Linked DNA regions of Ovis aries. The protein of the gene in region 3 interacts with the protein of the main gene of each other region in a pairwise test. Links are inferred from orthologs where the notes say so. Each region holds a gene or a part of one and is shown on either strand. Other genes may lie near its edges.

Evidence for each region.
Region 1: the proteins of NPAS2 (region 3) and BMAL2 interact in binary tests that used the Homo sapiens proteins (3 or more experiments, as listed by UniProt). The link is inferred for Ovis aries from reciprocal best matches to the Homo sapiens genes NPAS2 and BMAL2.
Region 2: the proteins of NPAS2 (region 3) and BMAL1 interact in binary tests that used the Homo sapiens proteins (3 or more experiments, as listed by UniProt). The link is inferred for Ovis aries from reciprocal best matches to the Homo sapiens genes NPAS2 and BMAL1.

Annotation. Positions count from the first base shown.
Region 1 is NC_056056.1:188,081,842-188,087,531, forward strand, and holds part of BMAL2 (basic helix-loop-helix ARNT-like protein 2), read right to left. Parts: intron 4,236-5,690; coding exon 4,118-4,235; intron 3,368-4,117; coding exon 3,224-3,367; intron 1-3,223. UniProt on the Homo sapiens protein: Transcriptional activator which forms a core component of the circadian clock.
Region 2 is NC_056068.1:39,061,268-39,066,957, forward strand, and holds part of BMAL1 (basic helix-loop-helix ARNT-like protein 1), read right to left. Parts: intron 4,767-5,690; coding exon 4,660-4,766; intron 3,325-4,659; coding exon 3,174-3,324; intron 2,395-3,173; coding exon 2,306-2,394; intron 812-2,305; coding exon 703-811; intron 1-702. UniProt on the Homo sapiens protein: Transcriptional activator which forms a core component of the circadian clock.
Region 3 is NC_056056.1:100,483,961-100,489,277, reverse strand, and holds the end of NPAS2 (neuronal PAS domain-containing protein 2), read left to right. Parts: intron 1-2,178; coding exon 2,179-2,346; 3' UTR 2,347-3,601; downstream 3,602-5,317. UniProt on the Homo sapiens protein: Transcriptional activator which forms a core component of the circadian clock.

The DNA.
Region 1 (5,690 bases), about 88 Mb from region 3:
AACCCTCATCTCCTGCATTGGCAGGTGGATTCTTTACTCCTCAGGTACTAGGGTAGCCCTATTGTCAATGACTAACTGTATATATTCAGTCATGTGCTGTCCTAGAATTTGACAAAAACTGAAATGAAAATTCAAGGTGAAAGATAGGACAAGCCTAGACAAGGTAGAGTCCTACCACCGATTTGTGACTTGTAGTTCCATTTTTCAAGATAAACTGTAATATGCCAATTTACTAAACATACATTTATTTTCAGCAAAGCCCAGATTCCTTTGGTTCCCACTGCAGAGCCTTTTCAGAAATACTTAGGAGAATTACCATAGAGAAAATGATCCAAGTTGTTTGCTGTCTTGCTCAGCTGGGCCCCCCATAATAAGCACTACAGGCTGAGTGGCTTAACAGAAATTTAACTCCTCACAGTTCTGGAACCTGGAGTTCTGATATCAGGATGGCAGCATAGTTGACTTCTGGCTTGCAGACAGCTATCATCTCACTGTATGCTCACAGACTACAGATCTTCTGGGTTCCCCTCTTAGAAGGGTGCTAAATATAGCATGAGGGCCCCACCCTCAAGACTTCATCTAAATCTAATTATGTCTCAAAGGTCCTACCTCAATAATACCACATCAGGCTTCAGCATATGAATTTCAGGGACACAATTCAGCCCACGTGTGCATGTGTGCTAGGTCGCTTCAGTTATGTCTGACTCTTGGCTACCCTATGGCCTGTAGCCCACCGTGCTCTGTTGCCCATGGGATTCTCCAGGCAAGAAGATAGGAGTAGGTTACCATTTCCTACTCCAGAGGATCTTCCTGACCCAGAGACTGAAACCACATCTCCTGCATTACTGGCGAATTCTTTACTGCTGAGCCACCTGGGAAGCCCAGAGAATCTCATACTTAGAGTTTAAAGCAATGGTTCTCAAAAAGAAGAGACAGGTTGAAAATCAACCTTGTGGAGTTGCAAGGTTTAGAAGCAAAGAGTAAACTGCTGGCCAGGGGGTGAGATCCGGTTTTACAGAAGTTAAATGGCTATACTGGGCACTAGCCATGCACCATGACAAAGAGATGACTGAAATATTTATTAGTACTGAATAAGTACATGTGGAGAATCTGCTTTTCCCAGAAGGAGAGATAAACTAATTTGGCAATCCTTAAAAGACTTACAAATCTTGACAGTGTTAGCCTCTACTCAAGTTACGACTTGCATCAAACATCAGAGATTTCAGCTGTGTTGAGGTGGCTGAATGGGCTGCCATGCTTTCTCTCATATGGATTGCTGTGTAGATTAGGTGATTCATTTCCAACTGGATCTACTCAACGTGGAATTGATTCACCAGAGCCATAATTATTGGATAAATGAATGCCTTTGACCTCAGTATTTGCCTTGACCATACAGTTCAGTTCAGTCACTCAGTTGTGTGACTCTTTGCAACCCCATAGACTGCAGCATGCCAGGCTTCCCTGTCCATCACGAACTCCCGGAGTTTACCCAAACTCATGTCCATTGAGTCAGTGATGCCATCCAACCATCTCATCCTCTATCGCCCCCTTCTCCCACCTTCAATCTTTCCCAGCATCAGGGTCTTTTCCAGTGAGTCAGTTCTTTGCATCACGTGGCCAAAGTATTGGAGTTTCAGCTTCAACATCAGTCCTTCCAATGAACATTCAGGACTGATTTCCTTTAGGATGGACTTATTGGATCTCTTTGCAGTCCAAAGGACTTTTAAGAGTCTTCTCTAACACCACAGTTCAAAAGCATCAATTCTTCAGTGCTCAGCTTTCTTTAAAGTCCAACACTCAGATCCATACCTGAATACTGGAAAAACCATAGCCTACCTTGACCATACAACTTATTTTTTAATATAGAAAATATTAGGACATTAATTTTATATCCATGCATCAAATCACTTGATATTTCACTCTCCGACATAAATCACAGCAGGATCCTCTATGACCTACCTCCCAGAATACTGGAAATAAAAGCAAAAATAAACAAATGGGACCTAATTAAAATTAAAAGCTTCTGCACAACAAAGGAAACTATAAGCAGGGTGAAAAGACAGCCTTTGGATGGGAGAAAATAACAGCAAATGAAGCAACTGACAAACAACTAATCTCAAAAATATACAAGCAACTCCTGCAGCTCAATTCCAGAAAAATAAACGACCCAATCAAAAAATGGGCCAAAGAACTAAATAGACATTTCTCCAAAGAAGACATACAGATAGCTAACAAACACATGAAAAGATGCTCAAGATCACTCATTATCAGAGAAATGCAAATCAAAACCACAATGAGGTACCATTTCATGCCAGTCAGAATGGTTGCTATCCAAAAGTCTACAAGCAATAAATGCTGGAGAGGGTGTGGAGAAAAGGGAACTCTCTTACACTGTTGGTGGGAATGCAAACTAGTAGAGCCACTATGGAGAACAGTGTGGAGATTCCTTAAAAAATTGCAAATAGAACTGCCTTATGACCCAGCAATCCCACTGCTGGGCATACACACTGAAGAAACCAGAATTGAAAGAGACACATGTACCCCAATGTTCATCGCAGCACTGTTTATAATAGCCAGGACGTGGAAGCAACCTAGATGTCCATCAGCAGACGAATGGATAAGAAAGCCGTGGTACATATACACAATGGAGTATTACTCAGCCATTAAAAAGAATACATTTGAATCAGTTCTAATGAGGTGGATGAAACTGGAGCCGATTATACAGAGTGAAGTAAGCCAGAAAGAAAAACACCAATACGGTATACTAACACATATATATGGAATTTAGAAAGATGGTAATGATAACCCTGTATGCGAGACAGCAAAAGAGACACAGATGTATAGAACAGTCTTTTGGACTCTGTGGGAGAGGGAGAGGGTGGGATGATTTGGGAGGATGGCATTGAAACATGTATAATATCATATAAGAAATGAATCGCCAGTCCAGGTTCAATGCAGGATGCAGAATGCTTGGGGCTGGTGTGCTGGGATGACCCAGAGGGATGGCGGGGGGAGGGAGGTGTGTGATGGGTTCAGAATTGGGAACACATGTACACCATGTTGGATTCATGTTGATGTATGGCAAAACCAATACAATATTGTAAAATAAATAATAATAATAAAGTTTAAAAAATACTTTATAATATGTGAAAAAAAATTTTTAAAGCAGTTATATAAACAACAAAATTAGAGTAATCTCTCAAAAAAAAAAAAAAGATGATACCTTTCTTCTTTGAGTTGGGTAAGTATTCGTGCTCTTCTTTGACAGAGATTTTGCAGCTCTTGATTCGACAGAAAAAAGATCGTCTTGAGCCAGAATACACATGACTCTTACTTGTGTGGAAATTACTGTGAACTTGCAAAGCAGCTTTCATAGTGCAAGGAGGCAAGAGAATAGGAAGAAAATGTTTTCAAATAATTTCAAAATGTATTTCCTCATGTGTTCTGGTCATCTATGGTTATTGACATCATTGTACAGTAAACCCCAAAGTGAAACACACCAAGAAATATAATCATTTGCAATTTATCTTTATATTTTTTCCCAGGGGGGCAGATAGTAAAGATAACTTCAATGAAATAAAAATTACATGAAAAAACTTAACTAAAATAGTATCAGTGGCATAAAACATCATTATTTTATATAATAAACAATTATTACGCAATAAGCAGTTTCAGAGAAAAGAAGTATTTCTGGAAAAGACACAGAATATGTATACTTCCCAAGAACAATTATACAAGGTGTTTCACATTGAGAAGACCTAACACATTTGAGAAAGAGAATAGTTATCCCTTCGCAAAGAACTAAATAATAAAAAAACTCCGGCAACTTTTTTTATCCCAAATGGCACTTTCCAATAAAGATTTTGTTAGCATATGAAAGCTAGAGAATATGAAGTAATCACATTTTCCCAAAAACATCTTCATATATTTACTTTGATACATGCATTCTCTACACAGTGATATTTTAAAAACTGAGGTTGATGATTACAAAGTTATTAAATAATTCTCCCCTTGATAAAACTATAATTAGCTAGCTTTTCAAAAAACTCTATTGCTATACTTTTAAGTAAAAATTATATTTCCATAAAATGATAAGAAGGCTGAAATGAGTACTTACCTTTGGCATCTCTTAGCTTCTCTCTGGGTGAAATATCAGAGGAAGAAAGTTGTTCCTTTACTTTGGAAACATCTTTTGGATGTAAGAAGTCAAATAAGCTTTGTCCAATCAAACTAGCCTATTTATAAGGCAGAAGTTCATTTAAAATCAGTGTCATGTTATTGCTATGTTTCCTCAAACAAACAAATGATACTGTTTCTTTGGTTAAAGTGGCTTTTTCTTAAGCTTGGATATATCAACTACACTGGGTGAAGTTACCTTAGTGTTAAAAGCAGAGTAAAACTTGTAGACAAAAAAAAGGTACATACACACAGACCCAAAATCGGATACACATAAATCACATACACACACCTAATAACTAACATTTTATTTAAACTTAATCATTGGTAAAAGTGGTAAAGAAAAAAAGAGTGGGCTTCCTGGGTAACTCAGTTGGTAAAGAATCCACCTGCAATGCAGGAGACCCCAGTTTGATTTCTGGGTCAGGAAGATCTGCTGGAGAAGGGATAGGCTACCCACTCCAGTATTCTTGTAGCTCCTTGTAGCTCAGCTGGTAAAGAATCCACCTGCAATGAGGGAGACCTGGATTTGATCCCTGGGTTGGGAAGATTCCCTGGAAAAGGGAAAGGCTACCCACTCCAGTATTCTGGCCTGGAGAATTCCATGGACTGTATAGGCCATGGGGTCGCAATGAGTTAGACACTTTTCACTTTCACTTTCATTGGTAAAAGTAAAAATATTATATTACAGAATAATATAAAAGACACAGAATACCTATGATCTCATGATGTGACTCAGAAATTTACCATACTGTCTTAAAAAAATTACCATACTATTGGTAAACCAAACCCGACTTGGTACACCTCCTGCTTGGCATTTCACTTCTCCCCACATGCAGAGCATTCCTTGGCCCATGACTTTGTTTGCATGGTCTCATCACCTGGAAATCACTACCTCTTCTCTATAAATTCAGTTCCCTGGCCAAGCTAGCTAATTGCCTTTTACTCCCTAACTTCCAAGATTCCCTCTCCAAACCTGAAATGCCTTCCTCCTCATCTCTGCTCTAAACTGGCAGACACTCTACTTCACATGTGAAGCCCACAGTGATCACTCGCTTCTGAATTTATTACCCAAGTAGACATTCCTACGGAAGGTAGAACAATTGGACCAGCTGGTCCAAGTGGCCTGGAGTGCTTGGCAGTTAGATCATATAGTTCAGTCACTCAGTCATGTCCCACTCTTTGCGACTCCAGAGACTGCAGTACACCAGGCCTCCCTGTCCATCACCAACTCCTGGAGCTTGCTCAAACTCATGTGCATTGAGTGGTGATGCCATCCAACCACCTCATCCTCTGTTGTCCCCTTCTCCTCCTGCCTTCACTCTTTCCCAGCATCAGGTCTTTTCCAATGAGTCAGTTCTTCGCATCAGGTGGCCAAAGTATTGGAGTTTCAGCTTCCGCATCAGTCCTTCCAGTGAATATTCAGGACTGATTTCCTTTAGGATGGACTGGTTGGATCTCCTTGTAATCAAGAGTCTTCTCCAACATCACAGCTCAAAAACATCAATTATTCA
Region 2 (5,690 bases), on a different chromosome or scaffold from region 3:
CACATGTCAGTTCTAGGAACTTTCCTGAGTTCTCTCACAGTCCTAGAGCAATCTGGGGGAGACAGATAATTGCCTTCCTTTTATGGTTTAAATCAAGAGTCCAAGAAGTTGAGTGACTCTTCTAAACAGAGGCCCAGGACTCAAACTCAGGTAAACTACTTTCTCTTTCATATGGAAAAGAAGGCCCACCCACACAAGTTTCTATTACGAGCTGATTAGCTTGGCCTCTATTACTAATCCTAGGCAGCTTTTTGACCGGAAGTGTCAGGCCCAGATCATGGCAGTTCAGGGCTCTGTTTCTGCAGCTCTGTGATGTTAGTGCTCATCTATCTGCTGGAAAGCTCCTTGGGTGGTACACAAAGTAATAAAGTTGAGCCTCCTAGAGTTCCCTTTAGCTCTGACCTGTTCAGGTTTAGCCTTTTTAAAGGCACTACTTCTTAATCCCGACACTACTGACATTTTGGACTGAAAAATTCTCTCTCAGAGGTCAGGGGTTGGGAGGGCTGTCCTGCGTCCTGTAGAATGTTTAGCAAGCACCATCCCTGTCCTCTCTCCCCTGGATGTTTAGCAGTAATCTCCCACTCAGCTGTGACAACCAAAAACCGTCTCCAGACATCAACAGATCATCTCCGGCGGGGAGGGGGGGCAAAATACCGAAGCATGGAAAACACTGGTTTAAGGGAACAGTTAGGTGTTACTTGCCTGTGGATTTCCATGATTTCCTCAGCAATCATTCGACCTATTTTTCCTGCCCCAGCCCTGGTTCCCCCTGGAATCCCTGGAACAGTGGGGTGGATCCTCTTCGGGCCACCTACAACAGAGGAATCTGAGAGTCGGAAAGGGGAAAACTGAGGGAGAAGACCCTATTTCGTGTTGAATTAAAACAAGTTCTTCCCATGATCCATTGACGTTCAACCTTAGGGTTGTGCCTGAAGGACACTAGAGCCATGGCTTTTCAGGAAAGGGCATTCCAGCAGGAAAAAGCTCACGTTTCCTTCCAGGATCAGACATGTTGATATATAGCCTCTACTTACTCATGCACGCCACATACATTTACTGAACACCACTGTGCTGCAGGCCAGGGGCACAGAGATTAAGTCGGCATCCCTGCCCTCAAGGAGCTCACAGTCTAAGAGGGAGACACGTAAGACAGACAAGGGCTGGAGCACACTGTGATAACTTTGACAGGGCGGCACCAGGCATTCAGGGGGGCCAGGTGCAATTTCCTGGAAGAGATTAACTGAGCTGAGTCTTGTGAGAGGAGCACAAATCAGGGTGGCAGAGAGGAAAGGAAGGGAAAGCATTCCAGGCACAGCCACCAGTGCACACAAGAGCACTGAAGAGGGCACAGCTTGGGAGATGACACCAAGAAACTCAGTGCGATGACGACGGAGTGAGCGAGCGATGAAATGGAGAAGCAGATACCGGTCAGACCAGGAAGGGCCCTGGATGCCACCCTAACAGATCTGAGCCGTACCCACGGGGGATAACCAAAGGACTGCCTCAGATGGGGGTTACTGAGAGGTTCAGAGGAGCTGCACAGGAGCGAGCTGTAGTGGAGGACAGGGGCGCAGAGTGGGGAGCGTGCGACTAGGGCTGGGAAATTACCTGCAATAATCCAGGCAACAGATGGGGAAGGTGGTGATGGGGAGGTTTAAAGATAGAAGGGGCAGGATTTCGTGTTTCCATATAATGGGAGAGCGGTAGGAGTCATGGCTTCTGGCTTAACCAACCAGGTTGGGGGTTGGGGGCTGCTCTTGTACCGAAAACCGACGTGGACATGCTGAGTTATAGGTGCCTCCTTTGGGACTCCAGGAGGCAGCTGGAGGAACAGACCTGGAGGGACCGGATGTAGGATTCATCGATGAAGAGATGGGGACTGAAGCCATGCAAGCAGAGGCAGGCCCAGGAAGGAGTCAGGTGCCCAGGCGACGGCCCGGCACGGCTCACCCCGCGGTGCTGGCAACACCCCCCTCCCACCTCAGGAGCCAGTGGCCGTGACGGAAGAGCCCTTCACATCACAGCTGCTGGGCAACACAGTGGGAGGAAGGCACACACAGCCAGGAGCCGGCCATTTCATGGGCTTCCAGGGTCCAGGCAGCCTCAGGAAAGGCAAAACCAAGTTTCCAGCATTTCAAGCTCAACAGAGAAAGTGAGATGACAGCGTCCTTAGTGATCACTCCCGCGAGGGCCCCGCCTTGTTCCGCAGAATATGGTGGCTGGGGACCCCAAGCACTGGGGCAGGGGGTGGTGGCCACAAGCAGCTCCTCACAGGCAAGCCCCAGCCCCGGTGGCACATAGTTACCTTCTCCAGAGGGCAGCATGCTGTCCATGCTGTGGGGGGACGCTGTGAGCTGCGGGAAGCTGGGGTCCCCGCCTTCCAGGACGTTGGCTCTGTGAACATCCCAGCAACAAGGAAACGTGAGTCAGGCCCGCCCAGAACTGCGCACCTTTCACCTTGGCCAAGGTGTCCGGTGTCCACTCTGGACCTGGACAGGCCAGAAAACGAAGTGTCTGAGCGACTCAGTGCATCTCCTCGCTGTCAGAGGACACGGCAGACAGTGTCCGGGGCTCTGGCCTTCCTAGCGCACGCGGGGTGCGGTCCCGCGGGGGTGGTGATGCAGCGGCCACCGCCGCTGCCACGAGGCTCCTCTCCAGGCGGCCAGCAGGGCACCGACCGCAGCCCCTCAGTCAGCTCTACCTACGGGTGGGGGGTTGCACATCACCAGGAAGGAGATGCGGGGAGCAGCCGGCAGAGAGGGGCCTTCCCTTCCCTGCTCGCCCAGCAGCTGGCAGCCTTAGAGGCGGCATTCCGCAGCGGTGAGTGCTCAGGCCACCAGCCTGGGGAGCACAGATCCCCATCCCTCCTCCGCCAAGGACCGTATGGGCTGGTGAGCCTTTGAACTCAAAGGCTGGCTGCTTTGTCAGGAAGGAAAGGCTGCTGTCTCCGAGAGCCTTTCCAGCAGCTGGGGGCCTGAGAGTTCTGAGTACTGAAGCGTGTCCTTTGTTAGCCACCTTCTGGCTTCTGCCAGTCCTGAGGCTTCACAGGATATTAGCAAGATGACAGTAAAGGATGGGATACTGGCTGTTGCCTGTACCGCCTTTCCCAGGTAAGGGGCCCAAGGCATTCCTCCTTGAAGCAAGGGAGCTTCTGAAATAGGAGAGACACTTACAAAACAACGGTGTTCGTGGAGACAATGTATTCTACTTCCTTGGTCCAAGGGTTCATGAAACTGAACCACCGACTCCGCAGTGTGATGAAAGAACCATCTTTGATTTTAAACTTGTAGCAATTAGTGGTAATCTTTTCTCTTGTCTGTAAAACTGAAAATATAAAGAAACCAGGAACATTGCTGTTTCCTCAGAACAATGCATTAAAATAACCAAATCCTAAATGCGCTCAGGCTTCAAGGCCATCCCCTCTTTAATAAGCCATGGGAGGTGGCACTTCAGAGAAGAGGGTGTTTCTGAGGGCCTGATTTCTGAGCCTTCCAGTTGGGTTGTGAACCTGTCACTATTCAGAGTGTATGAAATAAAGGAAATAACAGTGCATTCTAGACATCTAGCTGGATTCATCTATGAAGTGAATGCCACACAAGGCGGCTCAGTCCACAGGGACCATGTAATCTCCCCATCATAAAGCCTGAGGACATCCGGATTCAGATGGCATCTCACCCATGGAAACCTCATTCTTTCATGTAACAAACATGTAGCAAGTATGCTTCATGTGCCAAGTACTGGAGATAAAAGAGGAGACAGGATATGACTTGCACCCTCAGGAGAGGAATGAGGGACAGCTACGCAGAGGAGATCAGAGCCTTCAGGGGTGAATACAAGTTTGCCAAAAGGAAGGAGGGAAGAACCCAGTGCTACCCGAGGAGTGGCAGGGCCTGGGGTGGGAGTGGGAACAGTGAGATGTCAGTGCGTCTGGAGGACAAGGCCTCTGCAGACAGGGACTGGGTCGGGAGGTGAAGCTGGGGAGGTGGCTCAGGGCCAGGACGTGGAGGGTCTTGAGCATCTGTCAAAGGTGACTGCGCAGGGGGTTTTGAGCACAGATGTGACTGTCAGGCTCAGTCTGTCAGAGCATAAGCGGGACAGCAATAGAAGATGGACTGGCGGGGCAGAGGCAAGTCCATCACAATTATCAGGTGGGTACCAGGGCTGCATCAGGGGCTTGGCAGAAAGGGGCCTCCTTGGAGATGCATGGCTGAGATGAATGAACAGTTCCGACGGAGGAAAGAGTAAAGAAGGGAGTCAATGTTGGCTGCTGTCTCAGGAGGCTATGTACGTGGCCACGTCATTAACCAAGAGGAAAATGCAGGAGGCGGTGCAGGGATTTGTAGGAAATTAGATCCGCTTGGGCCACACTAAATCTTTACATAGTCCAGGGAAACCCTCTGAACCAGAGGTGCCTTCCAGAAATTGCTCCAGCCCATGTAGAGATCTACTAGGCAGTCGGGGTGGGCGGTTATCTGGAAGGGGGTAGATGAGGCCTGGGGGAAGGAGCAGCACCCTCTCCTCCCAGACATTCTGGCCTGCAGGTCCCTGGGCTGGCTGACTCCCACCTCACAGGGGCAGATTTCTCTGCAAGGGTCCATGGACATGTCTAGAAGGAGGACACTTGAAACTTCAGAACTGGTGTACAGCCCAGCAGCTAACCTTGCCTATGACATTCTGCGAGATGTCCTATGTCATCTTGGTGGAAATACTCATAACACGACGTGCCTAGAAGTTCTTGTGGTAGATATGCCAAAATAGCTGTTGCCCTAAAAGGGAGAAAAAAAATTTTTTTTTAAATAAAATAACATTCAGACAATTAACAGATCTCTGCAGTGGATGACTCCTGCTACAGCCAATGAAAACAAGGTCAAAGCTGGGGGGGTTCAGAGGGCTTATTACATGGGTTTTGTTCTTTCTCATGAAGCTGACTTTAATCGGGGTTATAAAAACAGAGAGAGAAAGCAAAGACTTTCAAAGGGGCTGTTAGCACAAGACATCAAATTTTAGGTTTAAAAGTAGTAACTTTTAGATTAAAAAAAAGTGATAGGACTCTAAACTCCAGGTCAAAACTTCTCCAATTTACTGCCTGCTTTTTATCAGAGTGACCAGAAGCCCCAGTCGTGGGGCCCACAGGGACCTTGAGAAGCGGCTGCCTCCTTTTCTAGTATTTAGTGACTGGCTATTTCCAGTGGCCAGAAAAATTGCTAGCCTGTGGATACTTGTAAGGAAGCAGCAGAGAGCAGTGGAAATTTGGGTTCTTAGCCCAGGTCTACGGCCAATGAGTTACGAATCTCGGAGGGGGCTGGTCTTCAGGCTGAGCCTCTGTTCATCAGCCATAAAGAATGAGACCAGACTAGATCAGTGTTGTCCAGCAGAACTTTTTGTGAAGACAGAAATGTTCTGTTCAGGTACCATTAGCCACTGTTGCTGCTGTTTAGTCGCTAAGTTGTATCCAATCCTTTGTGATCCCATGGACTGCAGCCTACCAGGCTCCTCCGTCTATGGGATTTCTCAGGCAAGAATACTGGAGTGGGGTGCCATTCCCCTCTCCAGGGGATCCTCCTGACCCATGGATTGAACCTGCATCTCCTGCCCTGGCAGGCAGATTCTTTATAGCTGAGCCACCAGGGAAGCCACATGTGACTACTGATACTTGAAATGTGGTTAGTGAGCTGGGGGAATTTAAATTC
Region 3 (5,317 bases):
CGCTTAACAATGAGCAGAGTCTCCTGTGCTGTACAGTAGGACCTTGTTGGATATCCATTTTAAATGGAGCAATGTGTACATGTCCATCCTTAACTCCCTAACTATCCCTTCTCTCCCTTCACCTGCCCTGGGGACCATAAGTTCCTTCTCTTTCAAGTCTGTGAGTCTGTTTCTGTTTTGTAAATAAGTTAATTTGTATCATTTCTTGTTAGATTCCACCTATAACAGATGTCATACAATATTTCTCCTTCTCTGACTGACTTCACTCAGGTTGACAATCTCTAGGTCCATCCATGTTGCTGCAAATGGCATTACTGCATTCTTTTTAATGGCTGAGGAATACTCCATTGTATGTCGGTAATCTTGTGGTCACTTCTTACTTTAAGCAAGTACCACATGCACTGGAAGGAAGGGGTGTGAGCCAGTGGCTGGGGGTTCAGAGAAGTGTCTGCTCAGGGTCTGGCCTTCCCTCCCACACATGCCCATGTGCCGCTTCCTGTCCAACGGGGCCTCCCCCACAGCCTCAAGCCCCTACCACAAGGCACAGTGTAGCTTTTGCTCCCCCACCCCCACCTGCCCCGCTTGGGCTTCCTCGAAGCCATAGGTGAATGTGCAGGGTGACCAAGACGCAGAGTCCTCCTCGAATTCTAGATTGTGATTGAATTTCAAGGCGGCTAAACCAGCTGTGGCGTAGTTTTCAGATCTCCCTGACACCACCTCTTGCTGCTGCTGCTAAGTCACTTCAGTCCTGTCCGACTCTATGCGACCCTATAGATGGCAGCTCACCAGGCTCCCCCATCCCTGGGATTCTCCAGGCAAGAACACTGGAGTGGGTTGCCATTTCCTTCTCCAATGCATGAAAGTGAAAAGTGAAAGTGAAGTAATTCAGTCGTGTCTGACTCTTAGTGACCCCATGGACTGCAGCCTAGCAGGCTCCTCCATCCATGGGATTTTCCAGGCAAGAGTACTGGCGTGGGGTGCCATTGCCTTCTCCAACACCACATCTTAGTGGGAGTTAACTCTGGACCTCAGCTTTGCTCCCTGGTCAGCTTGCAGGACCCTGGAGTGATCTGGGACGGGAACTGATGAGGGGAGAAGGCAGGGAGAAGTCAGGGGAAAAGCTAGAGGCTGCCCATCTATCTGTTCCTTCATTGGGAGCCACCAGCGTGCTTGCACGTGCCTGTTCCACCCAGATGCAGGGCTAAGGATGCAAGGAGCACTCAGGGACCCTGAGCGCAGGGGGACAGGCGACGTCACAGAGAGCTGCCAGGCCTGGGTCAGTGTCAATGGAGCACTGGGGCTGGGGAGCCAAGGTCAGAAAAGGACGAGGCGTGGGGACGGAAACACTCCAAGTGTGGATGGCTGAGTGTGAGGTGTGGGGGGACAACGTTTCAACAACAGAGGCAGCCTGAGCCGAGGTAGACGGGCAGATGTGCCTTGCACAGCTTTGGAAACAGAGTGGACCAGGTTCCTTGGAGGGGCGATTTCATGGCTGGGAATAGTGCGGGGTGAGACTGAAGGTTCCAGAGTTAATGTCTGACCAGTTGAAGTTGTTGCGTCGGTTGTTCAGTCGTGTCTGACTCTTTGAGGCTCTGTGGACTGTAGCCCCCACCCCAGGCTCCTCGGTCCATGGGATTCTCCAGGCTGCAAGGATACTGGACTGGGTTGCCATGCCCTTCTCCAGGGGATCTTCCCAACCCAGGGATTGAACCCAGGTCTCCTGCACTGCAGGTAGATTCTTGACCATTTGAGGCACCAGGAAAACCCAGTGAGTTTCTGAGCTTCAAATTAGGATGCTTCCTGGCAGATGGCAGTATTTGGAAGTGATTCTGGAAATTGGGACCACCAGTGAAGAGTATGTGGACTACAGGCCTGTTTGGATGCTGCGCGGGCAATGACGTACATGTGGTGTCAGGTTCCAGTATCCAATACCACACAGGCTAGCGGGGGCTCCTGTACATGTGCTCAAGAAACCATTTCCTGCAGCCTAGGCCCCCGGCCACCGGGCCAGGAGGAACCCCTAGTGCTGGCCGGAGAGCTGGGCTTCCTTTCCCCCAGGTCTTCAGGCAGGGGAGGAGGACCCTTCAGTCTGAGGAGGACTACATCACCGCCCCAGCCATTTAGGGAAGGAGTCCCTGAACCCCAGAACCTTCCTGGAGCTGGTTCCTTTCTTTCCAGGTGCAGGTGCCAACCTCTCTGCACAGTGAGCAGCAGGACTCCCTCCTTCTCTCCACCTACTCGCAACAGCCAGGGACCCTGGGCTACCCAACACCGGGGCCCGCGCGCCCAGCCCGAAGGGTCAGCAGCCTGTCTGAGTCCTCAGGCTTCCAGCAGCCGCCTCGGTAGTGGCTGGGCACCTTGGTTGGGTCACATCAGCTTTAACCAATGGACGGACGAGGGGGCAGGTGGCCAAGGAGTTGGGGAGAAGAGTTGAAAGGACACCCCAACTTCCGTGCACGCCGCATCCATTTCAGAGCTCCTGGGTGGTGACCATGTCCGAGGGCGGCGGCCAGCGTGGACATGAGTGAGCAGGGAAGCTGGCCCTGTTTCTCCTTTCCCTGTGCTTCACAGCCACAGTCTACAACCATACCCAGACAGACCGTCCGCGGTCCCCAGCGGAGCGCATCAGTGCATCACTCTGTTCAGCTTAGACACGGAGCGTCTCTGCTGGATCGCCCCTCCCCCCAGCGTGGACCAGTCTGCGCCACGTGCCCATGGGCTCATTGGCCTTCACTCTCCTGACCCTCTTTCCTCGGAGAAGCACCCGGTCAGCGATGTCTTGAAAGGAAAGAAGAGATGATTTTTTTTTCTCTCATTATTTTTAGATGATCGTTTCTGTCTTAATTTGCACAGCTGCACAAGGAGATAACTTAGGCACTTTCCTTTTTTTTTTAAATCAAGTCTCCTGACTTCACGCGGAGACCCCAGTAACAAAAACAGCCCACCAATCAGAAAGCAAAGCTGGGCATTATTAACCAGACTGCAGCCCCTCACCTCCCACCCTCCCGCCTAAACCCTAATGGAATGAGACTCTTCTCCCCACACCGTTCTGGTGATCAGCTTTTTTTTTTTTCTTATCCTGAATGTAACACTGGACTGTTTTCTGTTGACTTCCCGGTGATTGCGACTACAAACATGGACTCAAGGCAGAGTACAATTAATTCTGCAGGTGACGTTCTGGGATTTCGACAGGACTCGAGGACTGTGAAAGGGAAGGTTTTACAGGCCAGGCAGGACCCCAGGAAACCCCCCTCCCCCCATGCTGGCCCTCAGCGTGAGGGTGCCGCAGCTTTCTACACATCTTTCCTGACCAAGACCCAGGAGTGGATTTTCCTTTTCAAAAATGCACTTTGCTTTTTTTGTATGTTTTGTTGAGATGTTTCTAAAGAGAAGATTTTATGTAATTATAAGACGAAGTGTAGTGAATTGTACAGCCGTTGTAATAAGGAACTATTTCTATATAAAATAAAATTGTATGGATTCTGTGTAAATTATTTTGTATCTGAGACACCAGTTCCTTTCCCAAAATATAAAAGGATAAAAGTTTTCTTGTGTATTTCTGTGAGTGGACATTTTGTAATAAATTAACAAATTTGTATAATTTCCTTTTGAGGCAGTTTCTGTACCTTGTTCTTGATGCATTCATACCTCTCTTCGTCAGTAAACTTTTTTTTAATTTCAACACGTTTCTAAGGATAATCAAAAATGCAGAAAAGGTGGGAGCGAGCAACCAACAATCTGGGTAATGGCCTTAGGTTTTTTGAGCTCACATGCCTCTCAGCCTATTGGGATCCTGATCTTTATTTTAAAGACTGTGCCAGAAGAAATCAATGGTTCTTTTAGAAATGATAGCAAAACAAAATGACAAAACCAGAAAAAGTTCCTGGAAATATCTCTAACTTAAGAGACATGGGTAATCCATAGAGATGACCAAGCCATTATCCACAGAAGCAGGTATAGCCCATAAGTAAACTCACCTGGGCTAGGGTTGCATGGCCTCTTGCTTGCCAGCACTTACGCAGCAGTGATGCACCCAGGGTTTGTGTGTCTGTATGGGAGACCTGTGCACACGCCATGTGGATAGGGGAGATACAGCAGACGGCACCCCCTTTTCCATGAGGCTTCAGCACGCTGGCGTGAGGGTGCGCTGGCACACTGAGACTGAGAATCACTGAGATGGCAACACTCAGCAGAGCGCGGTCAGAGAGAACCAAGTTCCCCTGCTTGTTCCGTCACTGGGGCTCTGTGTTTCTACCTGCCTCCCTGTAAAAGAGAGAAAACCTCTCTCCATTCTCTGGCCAGGATCAGTTTTCAGCGGCCTAAGAGGCTGCCACGTAAATACATCAAAAGGAGTTTTAATTATTCACACACACAATTGTGATATGAATTACATGAAAAAAAGGTAAGTCTAAATATTTTGCATATCTTAGGATCATTTACTCTCAGGAATCCAAAATGGGCCCTTTTTAAAACAAAAATTCTGTGTGACACTAGATAACCTATTTTGTAATTTAACTGTTTGGTAAATTCAAAGGTTTCCAGATCTCATATTTCTGTAAAAGAATTTGAATTTTAATTGGCTGTCAGAATCTGCACTTCTAAATAGAACAAATTTTTAACGGAAACAGCATATTTGTTGTGCTAGGATTTTCCAGCTGGAAGCCATTAGAAGAGGGTGGACTATGTCATGCTGCTAAATTAATTTAGTATTGCTTAAACTTTACACATGTTCACAGTCTGGGTAAACTCAGAAAACTCTTATTGAGTACATTTCTTTAAACCCACATAACATCAGGGGAAGTTTAATCCTTAAACTTTTGATTCATTTAATTGTGCTGATTTAAAGACTGTTTTGCAAACTTGTCATGACTTTTCTATTTAGAAACTATAAAATCTTGGCTCATGAGAAGTGACTGAAATATGAACTCTGAAATATACCAAGCTTAAGAATATTTTAAACTAACTCCACTAAAATGTAGTATCTTGTCTCTAACAGCAACTAATGCCCATTAAATTAGGGTTTTGTTTGTTTGTTTATACCATTGTTTATACAATGGTATATCGCAATATGGTGAAATGGCCAACTGTGAGAAGTTGCTAGGCCATGATATGTTGGACTCTGGCTGAATTATCTGGTAAAATGTGGGTGTTCAGTAAAAAAATTGCCTGTTTCTCCCTTCACTTTATGTGAAGCCTAGAGGTTTTAAAGTCAGCCATTAGTAACCAAGACAAACAACAAATCTGAGTCTTCCAGAGTAATGGCATGTGTGGCTTTTTGGATACACACGTATGAACTTCATACAACGCCTATGTGCAA